Medicago truncatula: one gene and its partners. The protein of the gene in region 1 binds, or shares a complex with, the protein of each later gene. Links are inferred from orthologs where the notes say so. Each region holds a gene or a part of one and is shown in the gene's direction. Other genes may lie near its edges.

What was found.
Region 2: 50S ribosomal protein 5, chloroplastic (region 1) and 50S ribosomal protein L3, chloroplastic share a complex: the UniProt entries of both Arabidopsis thaliana proteins name them as parts of the 50S ribosomal subunit. The link is inferred for Medicago truncatula from reciprocal best matches to the Arabidopsis thaliana genes PSRP5 and AT2G43030.
Region 3: 50S ribosomal protein 5, chloroplastic (region 1) and 50S ribosomal protein L28, chloroplastic share a complex: the UniProt entries of both Arabidopsis thaliana proteins name them as parts of the 50S ribosomal subunit. The link is inferred for Medicago truncatula from reciprocal best matches to the Arabidopsis thaliana genes PSRP5 and PRPL28.

What each region holds. Positions count from the first base shown.
Region 1 is NC_053048.1:41,272,789-41,275,613, reverse strand, and holds 50S ribosomal protein 5, chloroplastic, read left to right. Parts: upstream 1-1,493; 5' UTR 1,494-1,577; coding exon 1,578-1,659; intron 1,660-1,772; coding exon 1,773-2,116; 3' UTR 2,117-2,317; downstream 2,318-2,825.
Region 2 is NC_053044.1:58,756,416-58,759,663, forward strand, and holds 50S ribosomal protein L3, chloroplastic, read left to right. Parts: upstream 1-1,553; 5' UTR 1,554-1,635; coding exon 1,636-2,164; intron 2,165-2,265; coding exon 2,266-2,555; 3' UTR 2,556-2,709; downstream 2,710-3,248. UniProt on the Arabidopsis thaliana protein: One of the primary rRNA binding proteins, it binds directly near the 3'-end of the 23S rRNA, where it nucleates assembly of the 50S subunit.
Region 3 is NC_053042.1:15,742,912-15,746,506, forward strand, and holds 50S ribosomal protein L28, chloroplastic, read left to right. Parts: upstream 1-815; 5' UTR 816-876; coding exon 877-976; intron 977-1,074; coding exon 1,075-1,182; intron 1,183-2,494; coding exon 2,495-2,727; 3' UTR 2,728-2,939; downstream 2,940-3,595.

The sequences.
Region 1 (2,825 bases):
GATTAAGTCGTGACATGAAGATCAAATATTCTACTTGTAGTTGGTTAACAAAAACATACATTGATACGTATCAAGATTGTTTTTATCGAAAAAAAAATAAAGATTTAGTTTATACACATTCACATTGTAAAGAGTATTTACTTAAATTGAAGAATTTAGTTTTGAGATACCCACGACGTAATTTTTTCTTACATGTGAAATCAATCAAATATTGTCAAATAAATACATGTTTTTAGTAGAACAAAGTGAAAAAATAACAATTGAAACTCGCACACAAATGAATGCACCTGATATTCTCCACCAAATTCAACAAAGATTTATACCCTTTAGTATTAATAGAAGTATAAGACTAATCATCAAATCGGATGTAGAACTATTTTTTAAATAAACAACTCTCGAAATGATTCATTTTCTTGTAGGAGGGTAAAAACGGAAATGCTTAATAGTACGAAATCAGTTAAACGGAAAACAACGAATGCACTTACTGTGAATTTGTTATTACATTTTGGTTTTAGTTCCTGTAAAAATATTTTGGTTTTAGTCCCTATAAAAATATTTTTTTTGATTTTAGTCCCTCCAAATATAAAAAATTTGGTTTCGGTCCTTGGTATTTTGTTTTAGTCCTTGTAAAATTGATTCATATTGGATTTGGTCATTGTAATATGTAGAATATTTGATTTTAGTCCCTCAAAATGAGGACTAAAATGAATATTATAGAGACCAATTTCAATATGAAATGATTTTACAACGATTAAAACAAAATACCAAAGACAAAAACCAAATATTCTATATTTGCAGAGACTAAAACCAAAAAAATATTTTTATAAGAGCTAAAACCAAAACGGCAGATATTTGCAGGAACCATTTTCATATTTAAGCCTTACATTTTTATCCTCAATCCATTTCTATATGACCACTTTACCCTTACCCTTGAATAGTTAGTGTTTTTTGAGTTTCGTCAAATCCAGTGAATAATTATCCCGTAGTGCATAGCAATGCTCGGGTAAAAAACTCTTCCAAAAACATGTTGATTGTTGATAATCTATCAATGTTCAAGTAAATAGTCAATTACCCCCTGAAATTGTAAGTTTCATCAATTATCCCCCTAAAATTAACAAAATGTCAATTACCCCCCTGAAATTGCACAACGTTAATCAATTTACCCTCTTCGTCAAATTTTTTCGTTAGTAAACATGACGTTTTGCAAATACTCCCCTGGAGTTTTACACTTATGTGCAAAATTTTATGTTCACTGACAGAAGAATTTGACGGAGGGGGTAAATTGATTAACGTTGTGCAATTTCAGGAGGGTAATTGATATTTTATTAATTTTAAGGGGATAATTGACGAAACTTACAATTTCAGAAAGATAATTGACTATTTACTCGTCATGTTCAAACCCATATTTTATCATTCAAAAACAAAACCCCTAATATTTAACCGTGATATAAAGTGGTAACAAAAAAGTTAATAAACTCAAAAAGTGGTGTGTCACACATGTTGTGCCTTCTTATCCATAAATCAATTCTCATCTTTCTCAAATTCTTCAATTGAACAAAAAAAAAAAACACAACACCATGGCACTTCTATGCTCCAATCTCTTCACGCTGACACCTCTTTCTTCTTCCTCCATTTTCCCAATTCCCACCACAACCCCAAGTAAGTACCATCACTTCTTCTTCCTTAATTTCTCCAAAATACATTCTCATGTTTTTATTATTCTTGTTGTTTCTTTTATCTTAGTTTTCTCGAACTATGTTTTTGTTTATCAGTTTCAAGAGTGCACGTTGGTTTACCCACAAACTCATTGAAGGGGCTTCAAATCTCGACACCCTTTGTCGTGAAACCAAGGAAAAATGCAATTTCTATTGTATCTGCAACTGCTGAATCCAATGTTGCAGATGGGTCTGAAAGTGAAAGCAAGAAAGAGAGTGATGCTGTTTCTGTAGATAAGCTTCCTTTGGAATCAAAATTGAAGGAGAGGGAGGAGAAGAGGTTGAAGATGAAGCTTGATAAGAAGATAAGGTTGAGGAGAAAGAGACTTGTTCAAAAGAGGAAGTTGAGGAAGAAGGGTAATTGGCCACCTTCCAAGATGAAGAAATTGAAGAGTGTTTGAAGATTATATCTGTTTGCAGGTTTAATCCTGATTTCTTCTTATTGTACCTCTGATTCTTTCCCTTATTCTCAACAATTTAGTTTTTTATTTTTTGTTATTTTCTTAATCATTCTACAATGTATCATGTATGTATTTTGACAATTTTTGTTCATTTTCAATCAAGGGTTTTAGTTTATATGTAGATGCCTTACATTTGGTTAATATTTAAATATGGTTTGATTTGGAATCAATGATATGATTCATGTGTTTGGATATTTTTACTTAGTCCCATTTTGGTTAATATTGAAAGATGAGTGTTATTTGGTACGATGAGCTTAGCGACGAAAACCAACAAATGAATAGGTGCAAAGAGTGGAGCAAATATAACTCTGTATTTGGGTGAATTAGCTGGTCAACACTTTTCGTTGGTTATCGTCGGTGCATTGCTCGTAACCATGAGTGTTTCTCATTGAAATAGGAGTTTAATTTGGAATCTATATAGTTTAGCACCGACACTTCTCATTATAGGTGTGTCCGGTGTTCAACACGTGTGTCCGTGTCCGATACATATGGTTATATTCAATTATTCATTTTTTCAAATTATTTGTGTCGTGTCAACTGTAAATGTCTCTTCCTAGTACATTTCTAATTCATCAAACAAGAACAATCAAATCTTTCTCCGAGTTTTCTCAGATTTTTCATCTTTTCTCCTATGGATTTCTATCTTCAC
Region 2 (3,248 bases), on another chromosome or scaffold:
AACTCAATGTGTGAATCAATACATTTGTCCATTGGTAAATCAGATTTAAAATTTATGTTACTTTTTTATAAATGATGGTGAAGAGAGAGAAGAGACTCCATCCGTCAAAATTAAACAAAATTTATTGAGTTATTTTAATGATATTTTTGTGGAAATATAGTGAATAAACTTATTTTTCAAAATTAAATTTAAAATACAATTATAAGAGTGCAATAACTCTTAGACTTAAATTTATGCAATATAGTTAATAAAACTATCAATTTAGTCTATAATATATTAGTCTCTCTTCATTTTCATTTTTAAGTATAATAAATAGTTTTAAAAGTATGTCATATCCGTCGATTTTATTCTTGCTAGGAAGATCTTAAGACTAAATTGACATGATTTCATATATTTTAGAGATTAAATTGATGGATTTAATATACTTTAGAGGTTAATTTTTATTTTGTATATACATTAAAAACTAAATTGGAGAGAGTGATTTTTTTTGGCTTAAATTATTTGTAATATATTGTAAGGAGAAAATTTAGGTACAATTTCTTATGTGTTTTTCGTATGATTCTTAACTATATTCACCATGATTTTCTCAAATCCATAATTTTCTCAAAGTTTGTTATATCCAAAAAAATATGTATTTTTAGTTAAGAACCATATGAAAAATACCTAAGGAATTGTATCTAAGTTTTCTCCATATTATAATACTAGAAAGAAAGTGAGGTTGATTGAAACAAATACATTTAGTAATGAAATAAAAAGTGCTAAAATATATTTTTATCATTTATCTTTTACCAATTATTCATTTATTTTGGTCATATAGATATTTTATTCTTTTCTCGTATATTTATCAAATATAACTATTTGTCTTGACTTGTCAAAAAAAGTCTTGAAAGATATAAGACTAAAACGAATAAAATAAAAGAAGACGAAAACAAATATTAGATTAAATATGGAAAATATATTTTAAAAAATGTTTAAACATGGCTATGAAATATAAAATAAATTGTAAACAAGTTTCTATCTGAACTATCATGTTTAAACATTTAATCATATATTATGCATTATCTTTACCAATCAAACTAAGTTCACGGGACAATCAATTGTTAGCTTTAAATTAATTGAGAACAATACGTGAATTGTTGTTCGAGAAATACATAGTTGATTTTGCGGAAACACAAGTGGTAGGGATCATGGATTTTAGTTTTTCAGAATGTTAGAATTTTAGTAAAAGAATAATTAAAATGATATAATGTTGTGGTAATTAAAGTGTATATGTATAATCCTTTAAAAAAGATGTATATGTATGACTTTTGATTATTATTATTTTTAACTAAATGTGTAACATTTGGTTGATACTATGTCACAATTTAGAAAAGCTTTTTGTTGGCTAACTTTTCTTTAACAACATGAAGCCAATAAAAAAAAGTGTAAAAAGTTAATTTTAATTTTTTTTAATGGAGGGTTTATTTAAAAAAAAAAAATGAAATTGGTGCGGGGCGGGTCGGGTATTGAAATGAAATTGGATGGAATAAGATAAGCTTTGCTGTTGTTGCTGTTGTGTTTCATTCTCTTCTCTTCTCTGTCTCTCTCTTGAGATAGATAACATAAACACAGTCGAGCGTCGTCAATTGATTCAATATGTCTATCATTTCTTCTCCATTCTCCATTTCAATACCTTGTTCTAATTCTTCTTCTTCTTCTTCACTTTCCTTCTCAACTTCTTTTTCTGCTCAATTTGTGAAATTGCAGCAGCACCAAAGAAAAAGAGGAGGAGCGATGGTGGTGAAAATGAGCTTAGAGGCTGGTGTTGGTGTCATGGGTACCAAATTGGGAATGATGAGCTTTTTCCAACCTAACGGTGAAGTAGTTCCCGTCACTGTTGTCGGTTTCAAAGAAGGCAACATCGTCACTCAGATCAAAACCGACGCCACTGACGGTTACAACGCCGTACAAGTTGGTTACCGGAGGGTTAGAGACCGCAAATTGACCAAACCTGAAATGGGTCATCTTGAAAAGGCCGGAGCCATTCCTATGCGCCATCTTCAGGAGTTTCGTCTTCAATCCGTTGATGGTTTTGAACCTAATCAGCGCCTTGTCTTTGATGAGCTTTTCAATGAAGGAGATCTTGTTGATGTCTCCGGCACCACCATCGGCAAGGGTTTTCAAGGTCTGTAACTCTCTCCCTCTCTTTGCATTCCCTTCTAGTGTCCAAGTTAAGTTGATAATAATATCTATCACTAATGTATGAACTTACTTTGACAATGACAGGTGGTATCAAGCGTCATAACTTCAAAAGAGGACCAATGAGCCATGGTTCCAAGAGTCACAGACAACTTGGATCCATTGGTGCCGGAACTACACCTGGTCGCGTATACAAGGGAAAGAAGATGCCTGGTAGGATGGGTGGAACTAACAGGAAGACCAGAAAGCTTAAGATTGTTAAAATTGATAAAGATCTTAATGTTATCATGATCAAAGGTGCTCTTCCTGGTAAGCCTGGTAATCTTCTACGTATAGCCCCCGCCAAGATTGTTGGCAAGAACATTCCAAAGAATTAATTACTCTTTTTCCTTCTTAACTACTTGTCTGTATTCACCTGTTAAGTACGAAAATAACAATCAAAACAAACATTTCTCAGTAACTGAGATTGGATGCAATGTTATAATGTTTTACAATAAATCATGTCTTAGGCAGATCATTTTTTTTCACTTATTGGTTGGTTTGCTATTTGATCAATTTGATGGTGCAGCATGAAGTTCATGGACACAAAGGAATTGGTCGTTCTAAACTCTAAACTAGAACTGGAAGTTTTTAATGCTATTAACTTTTTCCTTAACCCTAGTTGAATTTATTTTTAATGCATCTCCCATTGTTGTCATGGGCTTAACAAGGAATATTCTTAAGTTTCTGTTCAACTGATATATAATGTATTGAAACTCTCTTGTTTGTCTTCAACAACCACTGAGTTCCTGAGTTAAACCAAACTGTCTTAAGAGACATGGCCTCTGATATGCTTTTTCCTATAAATATTGCTTTATAGCCATACTTCCAACAGCATACAAAATTTAGATGTTAATAAAGCTTGTACTTGTCATGAAAAAATAAACAACCTTCACCCTCTAATGCCTCCTTTCTTTTTCCATTTCCACTTTCACTACCAACATCACCATCACTCTTGAACCAAGGTAGTGTGATGTGTCTTTGAGCTCCCTTTTCAATGGAGCTTGTGGTAGAAGGAAGAAACATGGAGT
Region 3 (3,595 bases), on another chromosome or scaffold:
AAAATGAAATCAAACATTAAAATCAAAATTAACTTTTTCAAAAAAATCAATTTCCTGACTGAACCGTAGAAGCTCCCTTTGAAGAATCTACACAACATATCTTATCTATTCGATAAATGTCCTACACTTCCTAGTGTGGAGAGTTGATTTTGGTTGGTTGGATATTCATAACACTTTTATTAATGTGGTTTTGGATTATGCGTATCAATTTTGTTGCCTAAGTTTATAAGGAAGATGTTATTGAAAGAAAGAAAAAAGAAAAAAAAAATTATTTAGTTATCTTGCATTTGAATTATATAAAAAGTGATAAATAATATTATTTTGGTGTAAATTTTTCTCAACCTTTCGATTATGTTGAAAAATTAATCTCAATATTGGTTCATATCAAAGGAAAATAGTTTTAACTTCGAGGTATTATGATATTTTAAATGTTTGAGATTTTAATTTTTGGATTGTTGATGTTATTGGGGCATGAAATTTGCACTATTTTGCTTTATTTGGTAGTTGAATATTGTTATTATCCGCTTTATTCTTTTTTATACAAATTACCCGCATTATTCTATAATAATTTGGTTTCACTCTTGACAGTGACACATCTTGTACTTTGAATATTGATTAGATATATTATTTGAATTTTCATTAAAAAAAAAATGGTGGAATCACAACAATAATAAACTTTTTCTACATAAATATAGTTAATGGGATAATTTGACGGATTAACATTTATAAATAAGAGATTCTTGTAAAAAAAAAAAAAAAAAAAGGATCATTTATCTATTTTCCTAATAAAAAACAAATTATTTGAAGGTAGATAATTTGAGAAGAGGCAAATAAGATTGGGTTGGATAAGAAGAAGAAAAAAGAAAAGAAAGAACAATGGCGGGTTCTGCAGTATCACTTGGAAACACCTTCGTCTTCGCTTCTATGCGCTCAATTTCATCAACCAACACTCACAAACCCTCTTCATTCTCACCCCGTAACTAACTAACTTAACTAACTTCATCTCAATTTCATTTTTTTATTTATTTTTTGCTAAATCTGTGTTGTTCAATTATATAATTTTTGTGATTTCAGAATTAGGGTTCTTGAATTCTCAGTTAAGCGGTCTCAAAATCTCGTCTCAGACTTCGCTTAAATTGCCCACACCAATTGTTGCTTCTCCCTTTCAACCAATTGTTGCTAGTAAGTTATTGAAACCAATAATTCATATTCACTCTCATTTTCACCATGTTATGAACTATGTATATGTATAGTGTGCTGCCCACATTTTCATTTTTAAATTTAACAATTCTTCTGATCTTTTTTTATTTTTAATGTAATGTCATATTTTTCATTAATTTTTTCCTAATCTAATTGTGTGATATACAAACAAATGCGTGCGTTTTGACACGCGGACCGTGTGGAGCACGGGTCTGTTGCTAGTTTATGTTTTAATAAATGGAAATTATAAAATGTTATTGATGTTGTGCCGGTGTTTGACACTAACTCATGTCATTTCTCTAATTTTGTCGATTTCGTGTCATTGCTCTAATTTTTAAAGAATGGAAGTACTTAAATTTTGTCGATTTCGTGCCAGTGTTGACTCTAACACGTGACACGTCTTCAATTTGAAGTGTGAATGCTACATACTAGTTTGTTTCTTGCGGGAGTAATACTTGTATCATAAGCACTTATTGAAGTTACTTTAATGTTATTGAGTTTCTGATAAGTTGTTCCAGTAATCACCGTCTTTATGCAATAATTCCTTGTTTTTTGGTAGAATGTGATTAAGTGATATTTGTTTCAGTCTTAGGTATATTAAAGGAAGAGTTTTCTTTGTTGAATCTTGTGTTAAGTGAACAGATTAATAGAAATTGGAAACCTTTTATTTTCATAACAATATGGATAGGGAAGAAATGGCTACCTTTAAGTGACCAACTATGGTTTGTGTACTTTTTATTTATTTAAAAAGTAACATATTGCTGTTGGTTAATAAATATTTTTCATATTTTATTGCGGACAGAGAAGTTTTGCACTGATATTTACTCCAGCTTTCATCGATAGAGTGACAGATAAATACCCTTCTTAGTTTATGTTTGCCTATAGTAACAATTCTTTTTTATATATAAGAGAATAACAGAACATGCATAACATGGTGCGGTACGATTTACCTATAACTGAGTTTTTTAAGCATGTTGGTAGAAGTTTATTACATGACCTGTTTGTATATAACATATGTTACCTTATATGATTAGTGTTAAAAATGGGGTTAGTGATTCAGTTTAAGACCTGTTTGCACAGAAGGACATATGTTATGAGATGTCAATCCATTAAATAATAAGTTTTTGGCTCTTAGTTAGAGATACCATGGGTTCACCCAAAAAAAACACATTTGGTTATTGCTATTTGATGCCAAACTACATCATCATTGTCTAAAGGATGCTACTGCAAATCCTGATTATTATTATTATTGTAAATCAATTTAACTTGGTATACTTTGGTTTTATTTTTTCAGAGAGGGTGTGTCCCTTCACCGGAAAGAAATCAAACAGGGCCAACAAAGTATCCTTTTCAAACCATAAGACAAAGAAATTGCAGTTTGTAAACCTCCAGTACAAGCGAGTTTGGTGGGAAGCTGGGAAGCGCTTTGTAAAGCTTCGTTTGTCAACTAAGGCGTTGAAAACCATAGAGAAGAATGGACTTGATGCAGTTGCAAAAAAGGCTGGAATTGATCTCAGTAAGAAATGAGAGAACAAGATTATGATTGTAATTGAGTAAAAGGATGGATCCATGTTCATTAATTTTTGTTGTAGAATTTATTTTCTTTCTGTATTATTTTTAGGGACTGGGGTTGATTCTGGCTATGGTCAAAAGCAACTTGAGTTATGTAAACAAATATGAAGTTTGTGAGTTTACTATGTCATGAATCTTACAAATGGAAATCTCTTTGATCATCCCCTAAACATTTATCCTGGACCGTAGCACTGGGAATTTCAGCCTTCAATGTTACATTTTGCATTCAATTATAATCTAGCGATGTTGCATAGGTGCGGTACGGGTACAGTACCTGGTACGATACGCATACAGGTACGAGAATACAACAATTTCTAAAAACTTTAAGGTATGGGTACTTTAAAAGAATCATGAGTTTTGTTATACAATATAACATGAGACAATTAAGTTCTTCAATTTACAACAAAAACATCACAATAAAAGTTAAAAAAGAATAAAAAAAAAAAATTAGTGTTGGTTAGAACAACAACAAAAATTCATATATTACTTTATTATCATATCAATATAGAAGAGAAAGTCACAATTAAATAATGAACAAAATTGAAATACCACGAGTACCATACACGGGTATTGTGTACTTCATATTTTTACAAGTCGTATTTTTAAGAGTACCCATGCTTGAGAATGATTTAATACACATCTAGTTTATAAAAGTTAATTTTCCATTGATGACAAGAAAATGTTAACATTATGTTCAATAAAGACCAAAAATAAAACAAGAAAATTATGAGGGTGAAAACATCCCGATTTTAATTCAGGGACTGAAATCAAAGTTTATTATATTTTCTGAGGAGAAAAACATATTTAACTCTAATGACTATAC